Notamacropus eugenii: one gene and its partner. The protein of the gene in region 1 interacts with the protein of each later gene in a biochemical or structural test. Links are inferred from orthologs where the notes say so. Each region holds a gene or a part of one and is shown on either strand. Other genes may lie near its edges.

What was found.
Region 2: the proteins of KLKB1 (region 1) and KNG1 form a complex in vitro, tested with the Homo sapiens proteins (4 studies listed by BioGRID). The link is inferred for Notamacropus eugenii from reciprocal best matches to the Homo sapiens genes KLKB1 and KNG1.

What each region holds. Positions count from the first base shown.
Region 1 is NC_092878.1:105,425,427-105,441,560, reverse strand, and holds the start of KLKB1 (plasma kallikrein), read right to left. Parts: upstream 7,967-16,134; 5' UTR 7,499-7,966; intron 6,314-7,498; 5' UTR 6,313-6,313; coding exon 6,255-6,312; intron 4,004-6,254; coding exon 3,841-4,003; intron 1-3,840. UniProt on the Homo sapiens protein: Participates in the surface-dependent activation of blood coagulation. Activates, in a reciprocal reaction, coagulation factor XII/F12 after binding to negatively charged surfaces.
Region 2 is NC_092877.1:376,976,675-376,992,422, forward strand, and holds the start of KNG1 (kininogen-1), read right to left. Parts: upstream 7,576-15,748; 5' UTR 7,335-7,575; coding exon 7,143-7,334; intron 2,006-7,142; coding exon 1,895-2,005; intron 139-1,894; coding exon 54-138; intron 1-53. UniProt on the Homo sapiens protein: Kininogens are inhibitors of thiol proteases.

The DNA of each region.
Region 1 (16,134 bases):
AGAACCAGTGGGCAAAATAAATATTGAAAGAATCCACTGATCACCTCCTGAAAGAGATCCAAAAGGAGAAACTCCTAGGAATATTGTAGCCAAATTCCAGAGTTCCCAGGTCAAGGAGAAAATATTACAAGCAAGCAGAAAGAAACAATACAAGTATTGTGGAAATACAATCAGGATAACACAGTATTTAGCAGCTTCTATATTAAGACACTGAAGGGCTTAGAATATGATAATTCCAGAGGGCAAAGGAGATAGGATTAAAACTCAGAATCACCTACCCAACAAAACTGAGTATACTACTTCAGGGGAAAATATGCAATTTCAATGAAATAGAGGACTTCCAAGTATTCTTGTTGAAAAGACCAGAATTGAATAGAAAATTTGATTTTCAAATACAAGAATCAAGAGAAATATGAAAAGGTAAACAGGAAAGAGAAGCCTTAAGGAACATGTTAAAGTTGAAGTGTTTGCATTCCTACATGGAAAGATGTTATTTGTAAATCATGAGTTTTACAGTAGTTAGAAGGAATATACATATATACACACACACACATATATGTATATGTGTGTACATATCTATTAAATATGTAAGTGTATATGGGCATGCATGTATGTGTACAATGTATATGTGCAGGTATATGTGTGTGTGTGTGTGTGTGTGTGTGTATGCATGTACTTACTCAAGTGGAATGTACCAGAAGTAAGAGAATGGGAGAGGTAGAATGCAGCAAATCATCTCACATACAAGAGAGAGAAAGAACTTTTACAATGGAGGGGAAGAGGGGGGGGGAGATAAAAGGAAATAAGTGAACCTTATTCTCACGGGATTTGGTTTAAGGAGGGAATAACACTCACTCAATTGGATATGGAAATCTATTTTAACATGTAGGAAGGCAAGGGGGAAGGGGATAGGAGAGGGAAGATAATAGATGGGACAGCAAATTGGGGAAAAGGATAATCAGAAGCAAACGCTACTATGGGGAGACAGGTCAAGGGAGAGAATGTAATAAATAGAGGGCAGGATAGGACAGAGGGAAACGTGGTTAGTCTTTTACAACATAACTGTTATGGAAGTACTTTGCATTGTTACACATGTATGATTTATATTGAATTGCTTGTTTTCTGAATAGGGTGGGTGGGGAGGGAGGAAGGGAGAGAATATGGAACTCAAAACTTTAATAATGAATGTTAAAAATCATTTAGCATGCAACTGGAAATTAATATATACAGGTAATGGAGTACAGAAATCTATTTTGTCCTACAGGAAAATAGAGAGGAAAGAGGATGGAAGAAAGGGAAGTAATAGAAGGGAGGACAGACTGGAAGAAGGCATGGATGGGGTGCATGCTGTCCTGGGATGGGGGGTGGGGAGAGATGGGGAGAAAATTTTGAATTCAAATTCTTGTGAAAGTGAATGTTGAGAACTGAAAATAAAAAATTGTCTAAAATTTAAAAATAAAATAAAGAAATGTTGATTAATTATTTCTATAATTGTGTTTGCATGATGTCTCATCCCTTAGGTTGTAGTAAGGTCTTTGGGGGAAGGGGGAAGGGGTCTGTTGCCTCTTTTTGTATTCTCAGCACTTACCACAGTGCTTGGCACAGAGTAGGGGCTTATTAAATGCTTGTTGATCGATTGAATGGTTGATTAGAGTGACACAACATAAATTGTCACCTAAGATAGGTAGAACACAAGGTCTTTTCTGACTAAAGGGATAGGGGAAGACCCTAACAAATTTGCTTCGTCAAAGATATACCATTTCATCAATTTGGGCTTTCCACATATGCAAATCACAACCCATCTGGCAAAGGAAGAAAAACCCTTAATTAAATTCTAAAATTTTAGGTGTGAAAATCAGAGGTCAACGAGGGAAATATGAGCATCCAATACATGATCAGAGCAAATAGCAAGTACAGCAAAAACTAAGAATTGTGAAAATTTAAGTTTCAGGGTGGTTGTAGGTCAAAAATAACCCCTTTACCTTGTGATCAAGTGACAAGTGATGGCATCTCTGAGCTTAGAAAGGCTAGTTACCAGACTCCAAACACATATTTTAGCACTGAACTAATATTGAAAGCCTTTCCATGTTCTTAGGATCTATGAGAACTTGCATTTCATTGGCATGGGCTTCAAGAACCTTGAGTCATCTCCAAACCATGATGAGTCATCTGAGTAGGAATTGAGGTGGGGGGGGGGGCTCCTATTATTCTTCTCCATTTAATGGCTTTTTTAGGATTTATTAAAGATACAAATAAGGACTTGGATTGAAACTGGGACTTCACTGATATAGGTAGCATCTTCTACCCATGCAAGCTTGTTCCTTTTTTTGCAATGTATATGTAGTCTTCTACAGTTGCCTAAAACACAGTTGCTTAAGGGACTTGTTCAGAGTATATATCAAAAGCAAGTCTGGACCCCAAATCTTTCTGGCTCTGAAATCAGCTTTCTATCCATGACACTGTGCTGCCTTTCTTATGAACATTTGTCAGATGTTGAAAAGGATCCATCCACTAAAGCCTGAGGCTGAGATTTCATAATGGCATGGAGGTAATATGGGCACTCAAGGGGATTTTCTCAGTGAAGGATGATTCCTTCTCCTGGCACTCTCTCCAGCATTTGACACTATTGAGCACCCTAGTTTTCCAGTTTTCAAACACTTTACTCCTACAAACTCTGAAATCTAGCAGCAGTGGCTTTCATGTCATTTCTTAAGCACAATGCTCCATGTTCGTATCTCTTTTTTACTGAATACTCCCCATGCCTAGAATGCTCTCCTTTCTGACTTCTACAGTTTTTCCTTCAGGACTCAGCTTATATTCTCTTTCATTTAAGTGGCCTTTCTTGGTACTACCCTCTCACCAAATGCTGGTGCCTTCCTCATGGGATTACCTTTCATTTCCATTTCATGTACTCCACATATAAAATTTTGTAGATATTAATCATTCCCCCATTAGAATGGGAGTTCCTTGTAGGCAGGACCATTTTGGTTTGTTTATTTGTTTGTTTGTTCTGCCTTTCTTTGAATTTTCAGGGCTTCAGATAGTGCTGGACACTAATTAGTAAGTACTTAATAACTGGTATGGCAAAGTTACACCAGCTTTGAAGAAAAACGTTCAATGAGCCTTTATTAAATACCTACCTAGTGCTAAGCAGTTGGGACGCAAAATCAAAAATGAAAGAAGAAAAGATAGAAATGTGACTGTGTGTCTACAGTCCAAGGTTCATCTTAGGTTAGGATCCGTGAATTAAGTTAAGTTACTAGACTGTCTACCATATAGTCATGTCAATGAGATAAAATGATTACAACAGGATCTGGGGATTTGGCACATAGTAAGTGTTTTATAAATGCTTATCCCCTGCTTTTCCCTACCATGTGATTTGTTTTGGAGGAGGATGACAACATGAAAGGCTAAGATCTGCATTAGTAGAGGAAGCAGTCTCAGAAATGAAAATATACATCTTTTCATAGCATCATAGACTTAGAGGTCTAAGGGACTCTATAGGCCATCCCAGGGGTGAAGAACCTGTGGCCTCAAGGCCACATGTGGCCCTCTAGGTCTGCAAGTAAGGGTTGCACGTGAGGATCTATAGGGCCATATGTGGCCTCAAAGCTACATGTTCTCCACTCGTGATCTAGTCTAACTCATTTTACAGATGAGGATACTGAGGCAGAGAGAGGCTAAGTGACTTGCCCAAGATCACACTTGTAGATGCTGAAATGGTAGAACAGGTCTTGAATCTACGTACTAAGACGCCAAAACTCCAAAATGAGCATCATCGGGGGAGAGGCATAGGAAAGGGGAGTTCAGTTTCTCTGATGATGAATCCCAAGCCGTTACCTTTTGTTCTCATCATTAATGGCATTTGCGGGTAGAAAACTAAACATTGTACACCTGGGGTGGAAGGTGCATGCTCTCTGGCAGAGCTCAGCAGTTGGGGTGTGCACCGCATCCACATCTCCTCCTTTAAAGAAGGTGTTTTCATAAAACCGAGTCACACACTCTGTAATAGAATCAGAGGACAGTGTTGATCTGGTGCAGTTAGCAAGGGATATGCTCAAGAATGCCTTCCTATGTACCTCTTCCCCCCAACATTATCACCTTCCCCCACCCTCTCCATTCTTAGCAATCTCCTCCCCCCACAACTTCATTAAGATATGGCTCTAATTCCCTAGAAAGAATGAAATCATTTGGCAGTGAGACAGAGCAACAGATACAGCATTGGCCCTGTAGTCAGAAAGATCTGAGCTCAAATTTGGCCTCAGAACCTACTAACTTAGTGGCCTTTCAACCTCTGTTAGCCCCAATAAAATGGGGGTGATAATAACAGCACCTACCTTCCAGAGTTATTGTGAAGGTCAAATGAGGTCATATTGTAAAGCTCCTGGCACATGGCTATTATTATCATTATTCTTAGACTCTGATGGCAAGCAAAGTAGGATCTTTTGCTGTTTTTGTTTTAGTATAATCAAATGCCTCTAACTGAATCTTGCCTTTATCAACCAAGAGCATTTACTAGGAGTAAAGTGCAGAAACAAGAGTTTCTTTAACCAGAAACAGTATATGTATTTGTGTTGTTAATTATTTTAATATGATTAAAGATCTTTCCCACCCATTAATGGGCCTGCCTATTAAAGGGAATTTGATTAAGGAAGATTTGCAGGAAGGCCCACACTTTTTGTTAAGTTTCTAATGAGACAATGGTTCTCAAGGTTGTGAGGCCCTATGACTAAAAAATGTATTAATACTCTGAGGTGAGGTTTTACTTTAGGGTTTATGGAGTGGAAATATTTTGTTTGCCCAGACAAGACTCTGGGAAGGCACTAAGGAACCCCCTAGCTTTGAAAACCCAGATGTTGATGCTTCCCTCTCTGGTAACTATGTATGTATGGTCAGACATGTATCTGTTGATCTGTGATGTGTGTCAGATAGTTGGAAGTCTGTCTGTTGATCTTTGATTTCTCTGTGTATTCTCCGAAGTTCAGGGGCTGACTTTTTTCCCTGAATTAAGTGAGTGATACATGTGTTTGATTAAAGGGATTATTGACCCCTAAAAGTTGCTTTTCTTTTTAGAAAAGCAAATCAGAGATATGAGAAATAGGTTGGGCAATAGCATGGAAGTGGGAGATGGAGAATTATAGGTGAGGAATACTAAAAGGGTCATTTTGGCTTTACCATAGTATGCATAAAGAGGATTCTTATGGAGTGACTCTGGAAAGGCAAGCTAGAATCAGATTGTAAAGAGCTTTACATGTTTCACAGAAGTGGATGAGTTTGATGTTATACATAGCAGGAAAGCCACTGGCGTTTATTGAACAGGGGAATGACACACTGGGTCTATGCTTTAGAAATATAGATAAACAATTGAAATGTTACATTGGAATTTCTTACATATGAAGACAGAGACAGACAGACAGAGAGATTAAGAGAGACAGAGACCGAGACAGACAGAAAGACTTACAAACAGAGAATTTCACTGAATAAGATGACATAATAAGGGTATGATCTGGGGTAATTGGGAGAGTATCTTTGTGAGTGACAACATAGATCCATCAAGTGTCTTATTATTTCTTATTTCCTATAAACTTCAAATGAGACAGGTATTGGGGGCCATCTGAATACAGTTAAACTCAAATTGACACCTGGTAGTAAAAATAAATAATAGTCCTGTCCCAGATGTAGAGCTAGAGTGATCTCAGAAATCCTCCAGGTTATTGAATAGATCTGGCCCATTTTTTAGATAAAGAAACCAAGGCCAAGGGAAGTTTGGTGATTTGTCGAAGGTCACACAGGTAGCAAGCATCAGAGGTAAGATTTGAACTCAGGTCCTCTACCTTCAGAGTCAGTGCTCTGCTACAATGAAACAAGACTGCTAAAAATGGACATAGCTTTTTGAGTATAGTTCTTGGTTTTGTTTTTGAAGCCTATCTTGTTTATTCATTTCAAAGGTCTGATTTCTTGGATTAGCAACCTTCCCCTCCCATCTGATTCTGCACATCTGGGCCTCTCCGCCTTTTTCATAATAAAAGACAAGGAAGGTAAGTCTAAAGAGCAGTTATGTTAGTTCTTGCCCCTGGTCCCTAGAAGGGGAGTCCGATGATCACAGATGCAGGGGCAGACAGCTCCCTAGTTTCCTTTTCTCCCCAGAGAAATCAGCCCTTTTCACAGACTGGTGCCTATGACATCCACCTCCTTGACTTTACCAACTGTGGGAAATTCTCTTTGGGTAAGATATGTTTTAAAGCTAAACTTACCGCTGGTCACTGTAGCAAAGAAGAAGAGGAAATATACTGCTTGGTGTAGGAAATCCATCCTAAAATGACAAAACACATGACCAAGTTTGGGGACTAGGACAATATCTGCCAAGAAAGCACAACCTGGAGTTGTGGTGACCAAGTAATCTAACAAATCGATAAAATGTAGTCTGTCCCTTTCCTTTGATCAATGTTAACTATGAATTCTGGGCACAGAATCCCAGGTACTGAGAAGATGGGTCAGTGGAAAATTTCTTGGGAAACAAAAACCAGCGCACTTCAAAAAACATGGAGTATAACAGCAGTTAACAACTCCCAGTTCTTGGCACCATGACTGACACATAGTAGATGCTTAGGAATGCTCATTGACTTAACTTGATAGCAACCCCTCTGGTCCGGCTCCTTAGTTTCTTGTTTCTGAAGGACATTTCAGGGTACTTACCAAATATATACATATGTATATATTATAGCTATATATCTATATATATATATCTATGTCTATGTCTATATCTATGTCTGCATTTAGCTCTCTCTATTATATAGCTATGTTATATATTATAAAATGTTAAATTATAAAATGCAATATATTATGAAATGATATCATAAAATGTAACAAAATATTATACCATATAGTATATCATATTACATAGATATTTATATAATAGACATGTAGATATAGCTTCAGTTATTAGTATTGGTGGGGAAGGGAGAGGGAAAGAGAGGAAAATATATATGTATATGTGGGGAGAGAAATCTTTCTATCCCTTTCTATACATGTACACTATATATGTACATATATATAATAACACAACTGTTTAATCTACATTATCCTTATTTATCAGTGATACAACATATGATCTCATAGTGAGGAAAGAGTATGGAAGATTTCTGCCCAGGCTTGATTTTAAACCTTAGCGATGGGGGTTTTAAAATAACTTCCACACGCATAGTAGAGATTTACAGTTTCATGTATAATCCATTTCCCGTTCTACTTTGTATATGAAAATGCACACTGTATTTAGTGACAAGCTCAGAATGAACAAAAACATGCTTTATTTAAAAACGTGATATGCCATCTTTCCACTTCTAACTGGCTCATGTTGGCTTCCTAAATATGTAGTGATTTAGAATTGAAACATTGCTTCATCAAGTAAAAAAAAACACGTCAAAACAAACAAAAAACCATAGTCCACTGCAAAGAATGGCCTATAGAGAAGCGATCAGAATTAAGAGAGGTTCTCTACCTGAGATTGTGCAGGCTTCGATGGCTCTGGACGTAAGGATTAGGTCTTCTGTCCACTTAAAATGTTGGATGGTCATCCCTTCGTAAAGAGGACTGTGGCACAGCACGTATTTGCTTTCCTCTAACATTGACTCTGATCTTCTGCCAACTGACTGTCAGCATTTTTCTCTGTCAACATCTTTAATAAATGTCCAGCCCTCCTGGGTTTCCGCAATTTCATTAATATGTCAGCTACTTTACTGTGCAACTATGTAACACCCATCTGGGATTCAATTATTTTATATTTTAGAATATCATGTCATTTTAGAACAAGAAAATTGCCCTTCTTGGGCTGCACTTTTTCCATTGGAGCAGCATGGAAGGGATCTGGAGTGGCAGATAGAGTCCATAGAGCTAGACTGAGAGTCATAGAATCACAAAGCTAGAGGGGACCTCAAAGTCCATTTAGACCAACCCTTTTTGATAAGTGGCCAGTCAAGGTCATACAGGGTGCAAGAGACAGGTGGGATTTGGATAGCAATGTGTGGATGAGTAAATGTTTAACAATAGATGTTTGGAGAAATGTACCCATGACACACTTTTTATATTTAATCTGCACAACTAACATTTCCCCCATTGGTTTCTTACTTCTGGAAATCAGCAAAACAATAAATCATGCCTGGATTTATAATATTTGCCAATTTCTCAAGCATAAATACTCATACTGAAAAATTTAACAGTTCAAGTTGGAATTGAACCCCAGGTCATTTGACTTTGGACCTAGTGATCTTTCTATGGGGGATCCTGCCGCCTGGGTACAGATCTCACCTTTGAGTAGCTGTGTGATAATGAGTGATGGATCAAACCATCAAAAAGCATTTATCCATTGTTTACCAGGCACTAGACCAAATACTGGAGATGCCAAAAAAAAAAAAAAGTGAAAACACACTTTGGCTGCAAATGACCTTATATTCTAAAGGGGAAAACCATATATGCATAAATAGCTGTATTCAAGATACATGCAAATTAGGTATAAGGCAACCTTAGAGGGGAAAGCATTAGCAAACAAAGAGAGGGTGGTGATGTAACTGGCAAAAGTTAGTACCTTTTAGTACAAGAAGTTAGTACTTGAGCTTTGTGTTGAAGAAGGCCAGGGGTCCTAACAGGTAGAGGCAAAGAGTGGATATACTTCGGATATGTTACAAAGGCACAGATACAGCATGTTAAACATTGTAAAAAACAAGACATTTGACCCACTTGACTAACTGTAGATTGCTTGTGGGGGACTATATTTAAGAAGAGACTAGTTGTCAGATGCTTTAAATGTCAAACGAGGAGTTTTATATTTGAGTTGAGATGTATTTGGGAACCAGTGGAAGTAAGTGCATAGGAAGAGAGGGTGAAATGATCAGAGTTGGCACTCTCTAGGAAAATTACTTTGGCAGTTGTGTGGGGGATGCATTAGAGTGGAGAAAGACTTGAGTTGGGGAATCCAATGAGAAGGCAATTGCAGTAATCCAGAGACGATGAAGACTAGAACTATGATTGTGGTTGTGTGGATGGAAAGGAGATATATTTGGGAGACGTAGAAATAGAAATAACTAAATTTCTAAACTAGTTGAATATGCTGAGTAAGGAGTCAAAGAAAACACCAAGGTGGTGGTCCTAGGTAACAAAATAGCACCCTCAGAAGTAATATGGAATTCACTTGATATCTCTGAACCTCTTTTTTTATCTGTTATATGGAAATAAAACTGTCTATTATACCAATCACATGCTTTTGGTGGGGCTTAATTGAGGCAATAAATTACAAAGTACTGGGTAAACTTTAAAAGGCAACATGAATATAGTAGCCTTTTGCTCAAGAAACTAGAATGCCATTGGAATGGGAGAGAAATCAACACACCTCAGCACAAAGGACAAAAATGTAAAGAGAAATGAAAGAAACGGCCCTAGCAGTTCTAGATATAAAGCAATATCACAAGAAGTAATCATCTAAACAATTTGATATTGGTAAAGAAATAGAAAAGCTGATCAATGGAACTGATGAGAAACAATATACAGAAGCAAAAGAGCACAGTAGCCTGATGTTTGATAAACCCAAATAACTCAACTATTACAATAACTCAGTATTAAACCAAAATTGTTGGGAAAATTGGAGAGTAATTTGGTAGAAATACAGTTTAGGTTAACATCTTACACTACATACCAAGAGAAGTTCTAAATGGATACATGACAAATAAAAGATTATGTCATAAATAAATTAGAGGAATAAGTGAAGATATTATCTGTCAGATCTATTGATAAAAGGAGATTTTGTGACCAAATAAGAAATAGAAAGGATCACAAAAGGTAGAATTGACTATTTTGATTATATGAAATTTGAAAGTTTTTGCATACCAATGCATTCAAAATTAGAAGTTGTTGTTCAGTCACTTTTCAGCCTTTTGACTCTTTGTGACCTCATTTGGGGTTTTCTTGGGAAAGATATTGAAGTGGTTTGCCATTTCGTTCTCCATCTCATTTTACAGATTAGGAAACTGAGGCAAACAGAATTAAGTGACTTGCCCAGGGTCACAGAGCTAGTAAGTATCTGAGGCTAGATTGAAACTCAGGGAGATAAGTCTTTCTGACTCCAAACTCAGTACTCTATCCACTGTGTCACCTACTTGCCCAAATTAGAAGAAAAGCCAATGAATGAGGAAGGAGTTTCATTGAACTGATTCAAGTTTACAAGAATAGAAGCCATTTTCCATTTGATAAGCAGTTAAAAGCACAAGAAGAAATCCAACCTATCAATCAATAATCATATTTAAAAAGTTCTTGAAAATACTAATAATTAGAGAAACATAAATACAAATTCCAAGGTTCTACTTCATATCCATTATATTGGCAAAATTAAAAAAAAAAAAGAAAATGACAAATTTCACAAGGGCTGTTGGAAATTAAGTATGTTAATCTACTGTTAGTGGAACTATGAACTGGTCCAGTAATTCTGGAAAACAACTTGGAGCTATGCCCAAAAATCTATTATACTATGCATACCTCTGGTGCAGTGATACCCCTTCTAGGCCCAAAAAGATCAAAAAAAAAAAGAGAAAACAAACACATAGGCACTAAAATATAGGAGCTCTTTTTGTGGTAGAGAGGCAACATGCAATGCAAAGGGCACTGGACTTTGAATTCAAGACCTGGTTCAGATATTTACTAATCATATGAGCCAGGCCAAGTCACATTATTTTCTGAACCTCAGTTTCTGAATCTGTAAAATGGGAATACTAATACTTTTTCACCCTACCTGAAAAATTTATTGAAGAAAGTACTTTGTGAAGCTTATGGATCAAATAAACATAAGTTAATAGAACATTATTATTTATGTTGAACCAAAATGAATCTCATTATAATTTCTGTCCATTAGTGTGAGATTTGCTCTCTAGAGTCCTACCCTCCAAAATTTTTTTCATTCATATTTTGGATATAACTTAAAATATTTGAAAACAATATTCATCTTGTGACTCTCATTCTCTTTTCATGGTTAAACATGCCTAGTTTCCCGGATGTTCCTTAATAGTCAATATTGGGTGCCACCTTTTTATATTGTACTCCTCACTTGGAGTCAGGCAGGAGCATCCTGGAGGTAAAGTTGATGAAAATGATGAAATGGCTGAGAGATGGAGTGTTTTCTCTGAGGAACAGCAAGGAAACCAGTGTCACTGGATCAAAGAAAAGGGGAAGTGCTGCTTATGGCAAAAAAGCCTTCCATCACAATGACTTGATGTGTCTTTCTTGGTTAACTCAGAGGAGTCTGACTACAGCTGACATGCTAATGCTTACTTGAGATGGGAGATGGTGACCTGAAAAATATAATGCCCCAAGGAGTGAGATCCTTAATGTTAAATGAGAAGCCCAGGATGGCAAGGTGGATGAGACTCTCTGCTTTAACGATGCCTTTGTATGGATCAGATGTAATACGATGAAATCTAATGAGAATGAATGTAAATTCATCCAATTGGGTTTAAAAAAATCAATCTCACAAAGAGAAGAGATGTAAGGATCAGTTATATATATATATATATGTGTGTGTGTGTGTACATATATATATATATATATATATATATATCAGCATAGGAGTTTAGTGTGCTGTAAATTTAATATATAACTTAACTTGGTAACACATCAATAAAATATCTAATGCAATCTTATACTGAATTAATAGAGGTATAGTGTTCAGGGGCAGCTAGGTGGTGCAGTGGATAGATTGCTGGGCCTGGAGTCAGGAAAACTTGAGCTCAAATCTAGCTTTGGACACTTACTAGCTGTGTGACCCTGGGTAGGTCATTTGATCCTTTTTGACTCAGTTTCTTCATCTGCAAAATGAGTTCAGGAAGGAAATGGCAAGTCACTCTAGTATCCTTGCCAAGAAAACCCCAAACAGAATCTTGAAGAATCAGATACTACTGAAATAAATGAATAACACAATAGCATTCAGGATAAGAAAGGCAATAGTCCTGCTCCTCTCCTCTATTAAACCCTCTTCTCTGGGATCTGAGGAAGGGGTGGTTTTTCCTTTTGCCAAGGGCCCTTGACCTTTCTTGGGCCTTGGATCCCCTCCCATTTCTTCTATGAATATGACTCATTCTTATTCTCTCATCTTGTCTCCCTCAAGTCATTGTCCAATATCCCTTCTTCATTTACCATAAAAACTCCTGCCTCTTCTTCTTTTCTACCCCCTGCTTCTCAAATCCTTTCCATCTCTTTTAGTTTCTAAGTCTGATGGCTTTTTGTCAGGCTACTTGGTGGTGCCAGAATGTGTAGAGTGCTGGGCCCAGAGTCAGGAAGACCTGTGTTCAAATCCAGCCTCAAGCACTTTCTATGTGACTGTGGGTAAGTTAACCTCTTTTTGCCTTAGTTTCTTAAACTGTGAAATGGGGATATTAACAATCCTTAACCTCTCAGAGTTGTTTGTGGTGAATAACAAATGAAATAATATTTATAAAGTGCTTAGCACAGTTCCTGGAACATAGTAGATGCTATGGAAATGCTAGCAATTATATTATCATATATTATATATAATATATATTATATCATTATTACATGACAGCAGTTAGCACTCTGTCCCCTTTCAAATTACCTTATCTTTTATTTTCCTATCCAATATTGTGTATGCTTTTAGAAGAAGGATCATTTCATTCTTTGTATCTGTCTGTATTCCCAACACATAGAAAAAATGCCTGGCACATAGTAGACATTAATAAATGCTTGTTGATTAACTCCCATCTGTCCTTGTTATATCTCCCCCATCTTGCTAGAATACAAGGTCCCTACAGATAGGAACTGTTTCATTTTTGTCTTTGGGCTCCGTACCTGGCAAAGTACATGGCTCTTAATAAGTGCTGAATTGTTGTTGTGTTTGTCCTTCATTCTCGAAGAGGACCATGATATCAAGATGATGGCATGACTTGCAGTTGACTTTGATTTGAGTGAGGGAGGACTGTGCAAGGTCACCAGCCTCACTTTATCCTCCTGAGCCACCTGGGTCCAGTGGCCTGATATTCATCAGGACAACTGGAGATGGCCCAGGGTGCAACCCTTTCAGGTTAAGGTCTTATCACATTCTCACTTTGAGTGAGATGCATCCATTCAACAAATAGGCTTCTTTAAGTAGTTACTCAAGGGATAGCCCTTTTAACCAAAAAAAAAAAAAAAAAATCAAACTGGGAGAGGAAGCCCCTCAGAATTCCTGGGTAAAAGAGAAACAATTACTGCTTAGTAATGAATGATTTAATTGAATGTTGAATAGAATGACAAAGAAAAGATTGAGGCAAAGTGTTTCAAAGAATAGGAAGGCAAGAGAGCGTTTTTGGCAAGAGAGAGGAGGGATGTAAATCAGAGAAGGCTATATGAAGAAAGTGATGCCTGGACTCAGTCTTAAAAAGAAGTGAAGGTATTTACCACTTTGGGATCAGAAGGGAGTGTATTTTAGGCATGGGAGAACAGTCTGAACAAGGGTAAAGAGGCAGGAGAAGGGAGAACAATACGGCAAAAAACAAATGAGTCATCCAAGGTGGCTATTGAGGTCATAGAGAGGAATAACATACAATATGGCTGGAAGAACACATTGAAGTCAGATTGTGGAGGGTCTGGAATGCCAGGCTAACTCTGAAAGAGTGAGGCTGACAACCTGGCACAGCTCTGCCTCACTTAAATCATTTAATAAATGCTTCACTTATCTATTCTTATGGCATCTTCCCCATTCTTGCTAGAATGTTATCTCCCCAAGGACAGGAACTGTTTCATGTTCATTCAATAGAAGAGCAAACGAGATGGAGGCAAAGTGTTGGAAAGAATTGGAAGGCAAGAGAGATCTGCTTTCTTTCTACTGTTCCACTCTGCCTCCCTGAAAAATGAGCCACATTAAGAAAAGAAAGAAAGAAAGAAAATAGTAAGTATGAAGTGCCTGTTATCTAGTCTAAGGCAGCTAAGTGTTAGAGTGAATTAAGTCTTGGGCCTAGAATCAGGAAGACTAAATCCAGCCTCAGACATTTACATGACTCTGGGCAAGTCACTTAACTCTTTGCCTCAATTTTTCAGCTGTTAAGTGAGCTGGAGAAGGAAATGGCAAACCACTCCAGTATCTCCAGATTTAAAGAAAAAGGGTTTCTTAACATCTCTGCTTTTATGAAGAATAAAAGTTAAATGTCAGTATTTCTATTTTTAAAAAAAAACACCACTCTGATTTTCTTAATTTATTTGGATCTATAAATAGATAACAACAAATCTATGAATATCTTCTCTGTTGGGGAAGATATGTTCTTATTATATGTTGTTACCTGCTCATCCTGTGATTGACATCGATGATCACCTGAGGAAACATTTCAAAGGACCAACTTTTATACTGGTAGTTGACATACCCAAACTGTGTTTTCATAGGTCTAATTTTGAAGCCATTGGAAACAGACAAATCACACCTTTGAAATGGGTCTCTAGATTTCCTCCAGAGACAGAAAAATCAACATGAAATAAAACGTAGAGCAGAAAAAATAAAGTCTTCCTAAAGAAACTTGAAAGAGAAGACTCCAGAGGTTGAGGTTGGCCTGAGTGAAGTATAGACACTTCTGGGCCAACTCCACAGAATTAAAGGACAGCAGACCAGAGGGGCAGCTTGGTGGAGAGGCAGTCTAGGTCTCAAGAAATTTCATCTCAACTCAGGAGCTTTTACCTCACCAACTTTCATCAATCTCTCAAACAGCACACAGCGGAGTGGGGGGATATTGAAGGAGCCTTGCTGTTTATTATGACCAAATGGGATTTATAGCAGGAATGAGGGATGGTCAATCAAAAGGAAAACTATTCCTTATTCTGATTTCTTCTATTTCTTTTTCTTCTCTTTTTGCAATTGCTAGGATTTCCAATACAATATTGGATAATGAGCATCTTGTTGCATACCTCATCTTAGTAGGAAGGCCTCTAGTTTATTCTTGTTACACATAATACTTGCTGATGATTTTAAATAAATGCTTTTTTGTCAATGGAAGGAAAAATCCATTTCTGCTAATACTTTCAAATGTTTTAATAGAAATGAGTGTACTTTATCAAAAGCTTTTTATGCACCTATTGACATAATCAAATGATTACTTTTATTATTGATATCAATTATGTTGATACTGATGCAGGTTATATATATAATATGTATGTTATATAGACATAATCATTCATGTTCCTACCCACCTCCTAATAGGTATTGGACTCTAAATGCAGAATCAGACAAGTATTTTTGGATACAGTTAATATGGCAGTTTGTTTTGCTTAACCATGCATGTCTGTATACTGGGGCACTTAGATATTATGCATAGTATATTATATATGCATGGGTATATGAGATGTGTATACATGCTCATATATACACATATGTATGTATATATGTATGTGTGTATACATATATGTGTATATGTGCATGTTTGTATGTATTTTTGAGCAGCTAAGTGAGACAATGGATAGAGCAGTAGGTCTAGAATCAAGAGTTCAGATCTGACTTCAAACACTAGCTACACGTCATTTAACCTATTTGCCTCAGTTTCTTTATCTGTAAAATGGTGACTAATCACTGTGCCTACCTCTCGGTATTCTTATGAGGTTGTTATTATCTCATTTTCAAAGAGTTAATAATTATAAAGCACTTGCAATGCCTGGCAGAGTCAGTACTGTGTAAATATTAGTCATTATTATCTATTCCAAAGGTTTTCTTTTTCTTCTTTTTCAGTAAGTGGGGGCGATTGTATTTTGTGTTTATCCTTTGTTTCCGAACAAGACCATGCCATCAGAAAAATGATGACATGACTTGCACTTGACGGTTTTGAGTGAGGGAGAGCTGTACAGGTCACCAATCTCACTTCTCCTCCAGAGCCATCTGAATCCAGTGAGCAGATATTCATCAGGATGATTGGTGATGACCCAGGATGAGGCAATTGGGGTTACATGACTTGCTCAAGGTCACACAGCTAGTGAATGCCAAGTGTCTGAGGTGAGATTTGAACTCAGGTCCTCCTGACTCCTGCACTGGTGCCCTATTCACTGCACCATTTAGCTGCCCCTAAGTGGGTGAGATGGGAAAAAGAGAAGAGAACTGTTTAGAAATTGAAAAAAATTAACAAAACTTTA
Region 2 (15,748 bases), on another chromosome or scaffold:
CATAATGAAAAGTGACACTGGCACTGTGTGGAACAGTTGGGCTAATCACATACCTGCAATGATGTGGCAATTCTGTTCAATGATATTGAATTCTTTTCCATTCCGACTCTTCACTATGGTTGTGCATTCTCCCTGTTCCTAAACACAAAGAAAGGACTGTGAGTCTTCAGCCACAGATTCAGAAACTCACTTAATTGAGAAGAATCTTCTGGTCATAGATTGGGTGAAGGAGTGACATGGTCATATTTGGACTTAAGGTATATGGCTGCCAACAATTTATCAGATAGACAGGAGAGTGAGAGATTTGAAGTAGGAAGGCCAATTAAGAAGTAATCATTTAGGCCAGAAATAGGGAGGTTCTGAATGAAGGTGGCAACTGAGTGAGCAGACATAAGGCATCCAATGGAAACGATGTTGGGGAATGAGAAACAAAGTCTGACAACTTGGGCAGGGGACAATGAGGGGTCAAGGGTAATACTGAAGGCAGGGGGTTTGGAGACTGATGTCTTAGGCAGCAATACAGAAGGCTAGAAGGAATAGTTGAGGAGTTTGATTTTGGGACATGTTGAGTCTGAGATGTTTCTGGGAAAACCAGTTTGAAATGTCCAATAGACAATCAGTGATGCAGGACTGCAGCTCAGAGGAGAGGCTGGAGCTGGAAATATAAATCTGGGAATCATCTGCATAAAGATGATAATTGGATTTAAGTCAAAGATGTACAGGTAAGTTTCATAATGGAGCCTTGAACCAGAGCCAGGGCTTGTCCTACTCTATTATGGGGAGATATTGAATGAAAGCTACTATAAATGGTGAATTTCTTAGCATTATTCTTCCCAGATCTGGAAGTATTTCCCCTTTACCAGGATATGAGCTACCTTAGGACTCTACCTGTTATATATTAGTACCTTAGTAGCTTAGTAATTTGGGGTTCTTGTAGGTTTTACCAGTGGAACTCAACTTCTGGCAAAGTCTATCAAAATGACAAATACAGAGCCAGTGATAGACTTGTGGTTTTGTTGGACTTATAGTCTACCATCCTCCTTATTTGTTGATGTTTAGATTGGCCACAAGGTGATTCATTTTTCAAGCCCAGCTACTCAAGACCTCCTATAAAATTAGCGGAGAGAGGACACACATGAACAGAATTAGGGACCCTCCAAGTACTGCAAGCTAAAACCAGAGACATCATTCTTAAGTGGTTTGCTAGTTCCTTCTCCAGCTCATTTTACAGATGAGGAAATTGAGACAAACAGGGTTAAGAGACTTGCCTTGGGTCACACAGCTAGCAAGTATCTGAGGCTGGATCTGAACTCAGGAAGATCAGTCTTCCTGACTCCAGACCTGACAATCTATCCACTGTGCCACCATTGAACCATGATATAGTAGGTTAGCAAGAAATCTAGCCCTAAAGCCCTACTTTTTGGATTTTCTCTGAGCATTGTAGCATTCTCCAGCAAGGAAAGAAGCTAATACCCTCAAAAGACCTTTAGACAGCAGCCACCAATTTCCTGGACTCTAAGATCAATCTCTTGCCTTCCTCACTGTTATAACATTGACTCCTTCATCAATTCCCCTTTATGCCTAAAGCCATGACATAAAACAAAACCCCTCATATTCATTTGATCACAGAGAAAAAAAATCCATTTAACTTTCAAAATAGACCACCAGAATACTTTTCGAGTTTGTCCTCCTTCTGTTGGGTCCTGTAAGACCAATGAGAAGAGTTTTCCTTCCTTCTCTCACCAAAGTGCAAATTTCAAAGGGAAAAGAAGATAGATAGATAGATAGATAGATAGATAGATAGATAGATAGATAGATAGATAGATAGATAGATAGATAGGTAGGTAGGTAGGTAGATAGGTAGATAGACAGATAGATAGTAAAAGAATCTTACCCGATTTGCAGAATCTTTGTAGCTACATTCTTTCCAGTTTTTGCCTGTTTCAATCGTACATTTGCTCTCTCGGACTTCATAGGTTATTTTGACGGTGTGCTCACTGGAGTCCTATGGGAAACGGCAAATGGACATTGTGTTGCAAATCTGCGAAACCCCCAAACCCAGGGCTTTGTTAGGAGGTTCTCACCACACATCTGCTGCAAGTTTGATTGAATTGATCTTCTTCGGGTTCTCTGCTGGTCTTATTATTCATAGAATATGAGAACACCATCCCAATCCCTTAATACACTACCTTCCTCAATTCTTGTATTTTACTTACCTGTCCCCACATTGTTTCCCCTCAGTAGAATATAAGGTGGCAGAGGGCAGAGCGCATTTCATTTCTGACTTTGAATCCCCAGCACCTTCCACAGTCCCTGACCCACAGCAACCACCTAACAAAAGTTGGTTGAATCTAATTAGAAATCAGGTAATTCAATCATCTCATTTAGTAGGTGGGAAAACTAAGGTCCAAAAAAGAGAAGGAATTATGTGATCAATGTCTAGAACTCCAGGACCCCTCACTCACAAGATAGCACTCATCTCATGACATTACACTGCCTCATTTGTAGTCCTTAAGTCATCACCTGATGAATCCTACATCTATAATTAATTCCCCTGATCACATTTGATTTGAAAGTCTCAAGCTATTATTTGGCTTGGTTTTCTTTCCGTTAGTGAAGAGACAGTGAAATATTTGCCAATTAGAAAAATTAATTTTTTAATTAACAAAAAAAAAATCAGTGATTGATAAACAAAGTAGAACCTTGGATTCTCTCCATGTCTCAGTCATTTGGGTAACTGTGAAGGTGTAGTCTCTAATAAAGTATTCTTGGGGATGGGAAGGAACATTTAAATTTTTCTTTAATTTCTTTTTAAAAGCTGTTTGGAGTGGTGGGAAGACATTGGACAGCAAATCGGAACACCAGGATTCCAACCTCCACACTATTCCTTTTTAGTTCTGTGTCCTTAAGAAACAATCTTCTCCTCTGCTAGGTATCAGTTTCATCTGTAAATGATGGGATGACTCTAGATGTCTCTAAGTTCTCTTTCAGCCCTAACATTCTGTGACTCTGTAATTCTGCATGACATGGGACAAATAATTGGTTTTCTCTCTTTGCCAGCATGAATGAAGCATCAATTTGGTTCCATCCCTTAGCACATGATTTGTCAAACAAAGGCTAGCCAAGGATTTACCTATGGATGCTGTGTCAATGGACTGGCAACTAAAATCCACTAGACCCATCTGAGGTATGCTTATAAGGAAAGGTAGTTCCAGAACAATGGCTTAGCTGTTGCTTTGTTTTTAATAAAATTGATTCATGGTTTGGGGGTTCAGGATGTATGGCCTCTGGGAGCTTGATCAGCCTGGAGAAGCTCATAGCGGCCATTAGTTGTTTCTCCTCTGGAATCATGTTCATGTTTGTCCAAGAAAACTACATCCTGGAGTACGTGGAATTGGCATGACTAAGTTGTGTTGCTTTTCTTTTTATGAGATTAGTTCCGGTCTCTTTCTTTTTTCATTCAATTAACTGACATCATCCAACACAATGGACACAAGGTCGGGAAGTATTTTTATGCCAAAAAAATTAATTTATTCAACAACAAAACAATTGAAAGTGAGCATTGATAAATTTGAATGATAAAGCTTGGCCTCAAGAAAGAGATGTGGAAGGCAATCTGAATTGGTTTCTAGGAAAATACAATCTCGGTAAGGCCAAGGATTGTTGGGTTTTTTATTTGAATTCCCAGTATTTGAGCAATGCTTTACACATAAGAGGTTCTTAACAGTTTTATTGTTGTTTTGTTAATTGAATCGACCCAGAGTCAAAGGAATTGGGTTCAAATCTTGCTCTTCTCTGTGTGACTTTGGGAAAGTTGCCTCCCCTCTTTAGGTCACAGTTTCATCATGCATTACAGAGAAGAGGGTTTGAAATAGATGCCCTCTAATATTCCTTCAAGCTCTTATCTAGACATTCTATAAAATATGGCAAATACCTATTAGGATAGAGAAACATGGATCTTTCACAACAAGCCTTCTTACATTTTGAAGGAAAAGTGTTTGGTGATTAAATAGTCTAAGCTAAAGAATGGTCAAAAAATAAATCCTAGAAACAATTTATAATTTCTTTAAAGAGAATGACAACAATGAGACAACATCCCAAAATTTGTGAGATGAAGCTAAAGAAGTACTTGAAAAAAAAAATATATCTCTGAATATATACATCAATAAAAGAGATAGAGCAGATCAATGAATTGTTCATGCAATTAAAAAAAACCTAGCAAAAGAACAAATTTAAAATTCCCCATTGTTAATCTATCTACCTGCCAAGATAACCCAGAGGTGATGTGAACACAACTATCAAACACTTCATAGAAATAAAGACAAATCTAAACAATTGGAGAAATATTAATTGCCATTGAATAGGCTGAGCCAATATAATACAAATGACAATTCTACCCATTAGTTTTTTTCAGTGCCATACAATCAAATTACCAAAGAATTATTTTGTAGAAGTAGAAAAAAAAACAGAATTCATCTGGAAATTCAAAAGATCAAGAATATCAAGAAAATCAATGAAAGAATGTGAATGAAAGTAGCCTAGCTGTTTCAGATTTTGGTCTATATTATAAAATGATAATCAAGAAAACAGTCTGATGCTGGATAAGAAATGGAGTGGTGGATCAGTGGAAAAGGAAGTGGAAAAGGAAAAGAAAAATGAAAACTCCGTCAACAATGCATCAGCATCTCAAATTTTCCACATTCTCTCCAATATTTGTCATGTTCCTTTTTTGTCATATTAGTCAATTTGATAGATGTGGAGTGATACCTCAGAGTTGCTTTAAATTTGCATTTTTCTAATCAACTGAGATTATAAACATTATCTTTATATGACTATATATAGTTTTGATTTCTTCTTCTGAAAACTGCCCATTGATATCCTTTGATCATTTAGCAATTAGGGAGTGCCTTGTATCCTTATAAATCTGTCTCAGTTCTCTACATATTTGAGAAATTAGGCCTTTATCAGAAACACTGGATGTAAAGATTGTTTCCCAACTTGCTGCTTTCCTTCTAATCTTGGTTGCACTGGTTTTGGTCATGTAAAACCCTTTTAATTTAATATAGTCAAAAGCATCCATTTTATATTTCATAATGCTCTCTATCTCTTCTTCGGTCATTAATTCTTTTCTTCTCTATAGATCTGATAGTCAAGTTATTCCTTGCTCTCCTAACTTGCTTATGATAGCACCCTTTATGTCTAAATCATGTACCAATTTTGAACTTATCTTGGTATACAGTATAAGGTGTTGGTCTATACCTATTTTCTGCCACATGGTTTTCCAGTTTTCCCAGTATCTTTGTCAAATCATGAGTTCTTATACCAGCAGCTGAGGTCTTTGGGTTTATCAAACACTAGGTTACTCTGGTCATTTATTCCTGTGTTTTGTGTATCCAATATATTCCACTGATCAAGTACTCTATTTCTTAACTGGTATCAGATAGTTTGAATGATTAGCACTTTGTAATATAGTTTGAGATCTGCTATGGCCAGGCCACCCTCTTTTGCATTTTTTTTCATTAACTCCCTTGATATTCTTGACCTTTTATTTTTCCAGATGAATATTGTTATTTTTTCTTTCTCTATAAAATAAATTTCAGTAGTTTGATTGTTATGGCACTGAACACACACATTAATTTCAGTTGAATTATCATTGTTATTATATTGGCTCAACCAACCCCTGAGCAACTGATATTTTTCCAATTGTTTAGATTTGACTATTTATGTGAGAAGTGTTTTATAATTGTATGTCTAGAGTTCCTGAGTTTGTCTTGACAGGTAGACCCCCAAGCATTTTATATGGTCTACAGTTATTTTAAATGGAATTTCTCTTTCTACCTCTTGCTGCTGGATTTTGTTGGAAATATATAGAAATGTTGATGATTTATATAGGTTTATCTTAAATCCTGCAACTTTGCTAAAGTTGTTAATTATTGCAAGTAGATTTTTAGTTGATTCTCTAACTATACCATCTTATCATCTACAAAGCTTAATAGTTTTATTTCCATTTTGTCTAGTCTAATTTTTTTTTCAATTTCCTTTTCTTATTGCCATGGCTAACATTCTAATAGAATATTGAATAATAGTGGTGATAATAGTCATCTTTGCTTCACCCTTGTTGTATTGGGAAGACTTCTAGCTTATTCCCATTACAGATAATGCTTGCTGATGGTTTTTGATAGGTATTATTAATTATTTTAAGGAAAGCTCCCTTCATTCCTTTGCCAAAAAGCATAGTGTTTTTAATAGGAACAGGTGTTGTATTTTGCCAAAAGTTATTTTTTTCTGCATCTATTGAGAAAATCATATCAGATGTCTGTTGTTTTCTTTTATTTATATGGTCACTTATACTGATGGTTTCCTAATATTGAACCAGCCCTACATTCTTGGTATAAATATCACCTGACCATAGAGTATGAGCCTCGTGATAGGTTGCCATAACCTCTTAGCTAGTATTTTATTTTTAAAATTTTTACATCAATTTTGATTAGGGATATTGGTCTATAGTTTTCTTTCTCTGTTTTACCTCTTCGTAGATTAGGTATTAGCACCAAATCAACGAGATTTTTTTTTATTGTTTTGCTTCGTTATGTATTTATTTTTAGTTTTCAACATTCACTTTTATAAGATTTTGAGTTCCTGGTTTTTCCCCTTTCTCCCCTCCTGCCTCCCCAAGATGTCATGCAATGATATAGGGCTATAAATGTACAATCATGTTAAATATATTTCCACCTTAGTCATGTTATAGAAGAAGAATCAAAACAAAAGGGAAAAAACCATGAGGGAAAAAAAGAGAAAATAGTATGCTTCCATCTGCATTCAGACTCCATAGTTCTTTCTCTGGATGTGGATGGCATATTCCATCATGAGTGAAAGAAATTTTTAAAAAAAAAAAGGAAAAGGAGATATATATATATACATACATATATACATGTGTGTGTGTATGTGTATGGTACCCACAACAGAAAGAGGAAGAGTGAGTGTGGAGGCCATGGGTGGGTTGGACATTGAAGGAGCACTGAGAAAGGAGGGCATGGAGGTGCCACAGAAGAACATTAGCTGAGCCCCTGGGCATTATTTTACCAGCACAGGACAATCAGCAAACAGAGCCCAGGAAGTGACCACAAAGGTCACTCACTCACCATCAGCGAGGCTGTCGTTATTCGGTACAGGACAAACTGGGGGCCAGATGACTTTTGGTTATTGTAGTTGGTCAGTGCTGCATCCACAGCTCGGAAGACATCATCATCCTCGCAGGTAACATCATTCCCCCAAGACACAACCTGGACACTCAGCTGGCTGGCCACAAGCAGGAGGACCACAGTTAGCTTCATTCTGAGCTGCTCACCACCTCTCTGGCTGCGGAGGGAACTGTCACCAGGGTGGCAAAGACTGACTCTAAAACCTCTCCACCCCCGTTTTCTTTCTCCTCCCACTCTCTCTGTGTCTTTCTCTCCCTCTCCTTCTTCTTCTGGTCTTTTCTGGGTTTGTTTTAATCACCACAAAACAGTAACCTCATTGCTCTGCTCAGATGGCACGGCTAAATTTGTGGCACTACAGTTTGCGGTATTCAGAGAGCATGAACACCCCCACCCACCTCCTACCAGCTCCACCCCTCACCCCCAGTTTAGCCAAATAGTTTATGTTGAAATCATTGCAACACAGAGGTTGTTGTCCTGCCTCAGGAACCAGGCTCCTCTAACTCCCCACTAAGTTGGGGCCAGTTCCCAGAAAACCTCTTGGAAACACATGCTGGCAGCTTTGGGAATGTTCTGGTTCAGTGACCTAGGAGGTCACTGACTTAGGAAGGAAGAAAGAAAAGCCATCTCAGAGGTGGGACCTCCTCAGTGACTAGCCCCAGGTCAGCCACATTTGCCACTAGGGCATCACACAACTGCCCATAAGCTAGTCTCCGGGAGAACTATCTTCCAAAAGACTATGCCTCAGGCAGCACTGAGGAGAAGGGACACAAGGGAGACAGAGACATCCATTCCTGCTGTGGCTGATGCTACCCCCTCCACACTGCAGGCCCTGAAAGGGGAAAGGCCATCACTGGGCATTTTGGCATCTAGGACAAACAATATAAATGTCCCCTTTAGATTGGGGGAGGAGACAGCAGACACCACCCAGAAGCATGAAAGAGATTCCATGGTGACTTGAGGCTGATGCTGGGTGAGTTTCCCCTCCCCTCCATGGACCCATTTGACCACTGCTGATTTAAACTGTCCTTCTTAGGGTGTTTAACTTGGAGTCCACAGTACTTGCATTTGAATCCTGCCTTAGACACTAGTGCCTCTCTGTGCTAATAACAGAATCTACTTCATAGCATCATTGTGAGGGTCAAATAAGGTGAATTGTACTGAATCTTGCAAACCTTAAAATACTGTAAATGTTAGGGATCCACATTTTCCCCTCATATTTGACATCCAAGAAGTCTTGGTACTTTCATTGGTGGAAAACAACCCTTTTAATGAACAGATGGATACTGCTGGGAAAGGGGATGAAAAGAGAGCTTGAAGTCACACCCTGTCCCCTAAATCTCATGTTAGAGCTGGAGGAGACCTTGGGAATCACCTAGATCATGTCTTCAATCTTACAAAAGAAGAAACTGAGGCAACAGAGAAAGGAAGTGATTTGTCCAAGACCACACAGGAAGGAAAACTGAGGCTGACCTGGGACAGTTAAATAGGTCTTAAATCTCACAGAATGGGTTTGAGAGGCAAACTGGTCCAACTCCATCCTCTTCTAGAGGCCCAAGATTAGTGTCATAATAGGAACCAAGACTCAGACCTCTTGATTTCCAGCCAACTTGGATGACTTTGGTCCACCGCAAAAGTGGCAACCTCTGGTGGCATGATTTATGATAATTGCTAAGGAGGGATGAAGTCTCCAGGCCGTTCCTGGTGCTGCCTGGCCTCCCAACTTATCCCCTCCCCATCCCCCATCCCCATAAAGGTTAACTGGCTTGGGAGGACCAAACCTCAAGGAAAGTAATGATCAGCAGGATGGAGGAGGTGGAGGCATGGCCTCCCAGAAAGGCATAACCTTCCTGCAGGGACTGTTGATCTGACTCTGTCCCCTTCCTCATCCACACCTAAAGTGCCTGCTCACCTATAGCATTTTCCCCTGCTTGGGTTTCATACTTTCAGCCTGGCTTTCTTTTCTAACCCTTCAGGTCCGGGCCTCAGAAAAGTTTGATGATGTGGAGAATTGGTGGGTTATTGTCCTTTGTTCTCAAAGAGGACCAAAATGACATCACCATGATAAACTCAAGTTTCAGTGTGTCTGACTGTGGCTGATCAGACCAATATGAGCTCAGAATGCTCTACCATAAGTTGAGCACAGAGAGTCCGTGTGAATATTTGGGGTGGACACTCCAAATTTGCACATCCTACATTTACTTTGTGCTGTCTCAATTCTACTTTGCTCATAGAACACAGCACCTTTTCTGATACGGGTACACCATGCTGAGCGGTCCTGTGCCAGTGTCTCCCATGTAGCACAATCAAATCCAAAGTTTGTGAGAGAGACCTCGAGAGTGTCCTTTTATCACTTCTTCTGACCACCATGTGATTGCCTGCCCCTTGCGAGTTCTCTATAAAATAGTCTTTTTGGCAAGTGTACATTTTGCATTCGAACAACATGACCAACCTATCATAGTTGCACTCTCTGAAGCATAGTTTGAATGCTTGGCAGTTCAGTTTGAGCAAGGACTTCAGTGTCTGGTACCTTATCCTGCCAGATGATCCTCAGAATCTTCCTAAGACAGTTCAAATGGAAACAATTCAGTTTCCTGGCATGACACTGGTAGACTGTCCATGTTTCACAGGCATACAACAATGAAGTCAGCACAACAGCTCTGTAGACCTTCAGTTTTGATAGTCAGTCTAACACCTCTTCTCTCCCAAACTTTTCTTCAGAGCCTCTCAAACACTGAGTTAGCTCTGGCAATATGTGCATCAACCTCATTTTTGATGTGTACATCCCTGGAAAGTACACTACCAAGGAAAGTGAACTTATCCACAGCCTTCAAAACTTCTCCATTTGTTGTAATCAATGGTTCCACATATGGATGGTGTGGTGGTGGATGATGGAGCACCTGTGTTTTCTTGGTGTTAATTATTAGGCCAAAATTAGCACAGGCAGCAGAAAATTGATCCCTACTTTTCTGCATCTTAACTTCAGAGGCTCCACTGAGTGCACAATCATCTGCAAACAGAAAATCATGCACCAACACTCCCTCCACTTTGGTCTTGCCTTGTAGCCTTTTCAAATTGAAGAATTTACCATCAGTATGGTAGTTGACCTTGATACCGTGTTCATCATCATTGAAAGCATTTGACAACATGACTGAAAACATCATGCTGAAAAGCATGGAAGCAAGCCCACAGCCCTGTTTCACTCCACTGGTGACTGGGAAGGCACAAGAGCATTGTCCAGAACCTGGTCAAACATTCCCTCATGAAATTGACATACAATGCTGATGAACTTTTCTGGGCAATCAAATTTTGACACAATTTTCCATAAGTCCTCATGACTGACAGTGTCAAAGGCCTTGGTCAGATCTACAAATATTGTATACAGACCTCTGTTCTGCTCCTGGCATTTCTTCTGGAGTTGTCGAGCAATAAAGACATATCAACTGTTCCTCAGCCCTTTCTGAAGCCACACTGGCTCTCAGATATATGCCCATCTCCTAGGTGAAGGATCAGCCTACTAAGGAGGACTCTAACAAGAATCTGAGAAAGACCCCCTCTGTGATTGTCATAGGATAATCTATTCCCTTTACCTTTATAGAGATGGACAATGGAGGCATCCTTGAATTCCTAGAGGATAGCCTCCTCTTGCCATATAACCTGGAAAATTCAGTCAGCTTCTGTATGAGCAATGGTCCCCCTACCTTGTAAATCTCAGCTGGAATAGAATCAGCACCAGCTTTGCCACATGAAAGGAGCCTAACGGCCCTCAAAACCTCTTCTTCACTTGGAAGTTCAGCTAAGGAGGGAAATGGTCAAAGAGGCAAATGGTCAATGGCCTCAGCTTTGATTGATGATGGTCTGTTGAAAGCACTATGGAAGTGTTCAGCCAGTCTCTCTAGGATAATGTCCTCATCACTAATCAATAGTGCCATGAAGCTGGCATAGGTTTTGCAACCAAAACTAATCTAGTCAACAAGGTGGTATGCTGGCCAAAAGGAGTGAATGACAGGCTCATGAAAATGTGACTGCCACTTGCAGGAAAATGCCCTGCCACCATCATCAGTGCCTATGCTCCCACCATGACAAACCTTGATGAGGTCAAAGAAAAATTTTATGAAGACCTAGAGACCCTTATCATCAATGTGCCAAAAGAGGACAAGCTTGTCATTCTGGGTGACTTTAATGCTAAAGTAGGCTCAGACTACCTGACTTGGCAGGGAGTCCTAGGGAGGAATGGAGTTGGAAAAGCAACAGCAATGGTCATTTACTGCTGAAGACTTGCACATCAAATGACCTTCTCACCACCAACACTGTTTTCCATTTACCTAAACAACAATAAAACTTCATAGCAAGCACTGGCATCTAATTGACTATGTGATTGTAAGGAGAAGAGACAGACAAGATGTGAAAGTGACAAAAGGCAATGTGTGGTGCAGAGTGCTGGACTGATCACAGACTTATCCTTTCCAAGCTAAATATTCACATTCATCAAAAGTGCCCCTCCCCAAGGCAAAATGACTACCAGAAGAATTAATGTCAACACATTAGAGCTCTTCTCTGAGTGTGAACAGTTGCTAACTTGGAGGGAAGGTTGAGCCCACACAAAGGTGGCAACAGTGAAGCAGAAAAGTGGGCAGCTTTCAGAGATTTGGTGTACAGCACTGCATTTGCTCATCTGGGTCAGAACACTCACAAACACCAAGACTGGTTTGATGAAAATGGTGGGGAAATTCAGAAGCTGCTAATGAAAAATGAGAACTCCACAGGATTTACCAGCACGATAGTTCATCCACCTCTAAGAAGGCAGCATATAATTCCATCAATAGCAAAGTTCAAGCAAAGCTTCAAGAGATGCAGGATTCCTGGCTTATCAGAAGACAGATGAAATTCAGTTTTATGCTAATAGTAACAACCCAAAGCAGTTTTATGACTCCCTGAAAGCTATTTATGGATCAAAAACCTATGGAGCATCACAGCTACTCAGTGCTGATGGAATCACAATGTGGAGAATACAACCTGGAGGGGTGACTAATTTCACTAGGATTGTAGACTCAGGGTTAACTGTTGTTAAAGGCATGAGCAATCTTCTCTGTCCCCATCAAAGGCCTGCTCTTTCCACAGGCCCATTGTGGGGAGCTTCTGCCCCTCAATCCCAGGCTGACACTGGGCCAGAACTACTGCTCCTCCTTACAGTGCCCTCCTCTCCCCCAAAAGCCAGATGGACAGTGACATGACCCTTAAAGGAATACCAGATGAACACACTGAAGAAACCAGCTCACTGGATGCTCACTGAGACAGGACTGACCTTCCTTCCTTCCCTAACCCAGTCCAAAACAGACTAGCCTTGAAAGCTCCCATGAGATAATAAAACAGTGAGATCCTGCTAAGCCTTCACTCTTTCCATTTAGTCACTAGCGCAGCTTGGCTACAGAAGCAGCCACAGTCCACTACTTCTTCTCCTAGCCTACCATCAGCCTCCACCTTCTGCCATTGGCCATTGTGATAGAATATTTCTGAGGTCTGGGAAATGGGGGAATGCTTAGTTTGGGGGAGAGAAGAATTATGTCAATTTAATGAATTAGCTATTAACTAAACTCCTTCCCCCAAAGTCTCCATCTGTTTGTTGAAAGAGTTATTAGTCCACCACCACCACCACCCTGCAGTAATGAGGCTTCTTAAACTCCAAGTATACTAAAAAAAAAAAAAAATACAAAATGACAACTGTTGGGATTGGAAGCTCAATTCCGTGTGGACGGTCTCGGGCGGGTAAAAGTGGGACTTCTAAATCTTAGAGTCTTACGAGGCCCTCCATGAACAGTGGGGGTTAGAGAAGGTCAGACTGAGCTAGCTTGGCTAGCTCGGGTATTTCCGCCTCTCCCCGGGAGATACGTGATGGGTGGAGTCTCCCTGCCCTCGAGGTCGTCCCGGATTGGAGCACACCTAGTTACCTAACAGCACGGTATTGAGATGCAAACTGTGCGGCTGAAGGTTAAGTAGGATTGAGGAAGCCTGAAAGTTCTCTCTTAGCACGTGTGGAGCCAAGAGGACAGTAGGCTCCACTTCTTTTCTTTCCTCTCTCCCCTCCCCCTCTCTCCCCGCTTGTACTTCTATTTCCAAGCCCTTAAGATCCTAGCCTCCTTAGGAAATCTCCCCCTCTTCCTCCTAAGGAAGACCCCCCTGCACTTGTAACTAGACCCTGAAATAAAGCTCAACCCTTGTTCGACTCTGGAACGTCCTTTCTCTCATATGTGCATCCGGTTTTGGCCAACCAAAGACCTCGGAGGTGAGGTAAGAAAGACTCGGGTAGCCCACACAGGCCTCTAGGCCTGGCGGACAACAACAAAAGCCCATTAACAGTTAACAGCTAATCCATTGAATTGCTGAATCTCCTGGGTTTGGAAAAGGGAGGGAAGTAGAATCTGAAGAGTCATTTGTGGGCCAGGGTGCACATTTTTGCCTTTTATGCTTTTGAACAGCAGGAGATATTTATTCCAACAGAATCTGGTTGAAGTTCCTTACAAGGTGTAGTGGAATAAGAACTAAACCTGGAGTCAGGGGAGACCTGGGTTCAGATGCTGCTAGCTATGTGACCATGAGTAGGTCACTAAACCCCTCTGTACCTTGGTTTCATGATCTATAAAAGAATTATAGTGTTCTATCATCTACCTACCTACCTACCTATCTACCTTTATTTCTACTTTTCTATCTATCTCTTCTACAGATGTTCCAAATTGGAAATGTCTGCCTTGGAGGTTGGGTTCCTCCTCAATGGAACTCTCCAGAAGAGGCTGAATGACTACTCATCAAGAATAATTTAGACAAGATCCCTCTGTATTCTCATCTACAAACTGGAGGTGATGATGCTTATAGCCCATACCTCCCACATTTACTGTGAGAATTAAATGAGTCAATATAGGGAAAGTTCTTTATAAACCTTAAGGATTTATACAAATGTCCATTATTATTATTTTTGTTGTTCAGGTATAGGTGGGACTGTTTGGCATCTAGGGGTCTTTCCTTTACATCTATGAGGTTCTGAGATTCTGTGACATCACAACCTGTTCAGAACTGGGCAGAAGGTGGGATTGGTCAGTGGTACTTGAAAGATCATGGAGAGTTGGGGAGGAGAGATGAAACTGGAGAGAATGGTAAACATGAGAAACTAGTATCTATATACTCTAGGACAGTGAATTTGATGTTGATTCTTGGCAAAACTCTATAACATATGGTAAGGAATGATTAGTAAATTTGTAATGTGGGACTGAAGAATGTGGGACCATTCCTGGGAGCATGGATACAGGAATGTTTGGTGAACCTGCAAGTATTCTGTTTCTGACTTACTGAATGGTGAAGAAAAGACATTAGGTGGACTGCCAAAATGGAACTGGTGGAGTCAAGATGGTGGAGTGAGAAGCACTAGAGCCTAGCTGTCCACTATCCCTCTCCATAACTATCTAGAAAATGCATGAGACCAATTCTGTTTTTGGAAAGCCAAGAAAAAGTCAACTAGTCATTTTTTTCCAGCCTAGGGTGACTAAGGGAGAGAAAGAGAGAGAGTTTTATGAACATTGGCCAGTAACAGTCATTCTACCTCTCAGGGACTGGAAAAAGGCTGAGACAGAGCTTGGGGACATGAAGTACCCCAGCAGAAAGATCTAAGGTTATGATTATCTCTGAACTGGTGCTGGGTGCAGACAGGTGTCATTTGGCAGCTCTGACTCTTGATAAACCTGCATTGGAATAACTAAGGCAACAGTCCCTGACCAAGGGAGAGTTTTGAACCTGCAGAATCTTTCAGCAGGCTAACAGTGACTGAGTCCAGCAACAATCTACTGGAACTCACAACCAAGGATAAGCTGACATTCCCAACCCTGGGTCAGGAATTTGCAGAGCTCAGACCAGGAGGGCAATGAATACACCATCTTCTGGACCACCTCATTTGGGGGTCCATGAAAACTGTCAGGACCCCAGACAGAGCTGCAGAAACAGCAAAAGGATGTTGAAGTATAGAAGCATAGAACTGACATCCCTTCCAGAGTTATGCAGAGCCCAACACTAACATAAAGCTCAAAGTCAAGAAGTAAGGCTAGAACAAATAAAAGAATATCACCATTAAGAGCTATTATGGTGATATGGAAATTCAAGACACAAACCTAGAAGAAAATAACTCAAAAACATCTACAAAGCAGAGTATGCTAGAAGAGTTAAAGAAAGAGCTAAAAGTTATTTCTAAAACAAAATTGAAGTGGTAAAGGAAATAATGGAAAAAAAGAAGCAAGATAAAAGGAAGAAAAATATGAAAAGAGAATTAACATCTTGGGAAAAGAGGTACAAAGCCTTAATGAAGAAAATAACTGCTTGAAAATTAGTATTGGCCAAATGGAAGCTAATAACTCCAAGAAAAATTTTAAAAAACAATAAAATAAAGTCAAGAGTGATAAATACAGAGGAAACACTTAAATATCTCATATGAAAGACCTGGAAAACAGATGGAGGAGAAATAATTTAAAAATTATGGGACTACCTGAAAGTGATGAACAAAGTAAAAA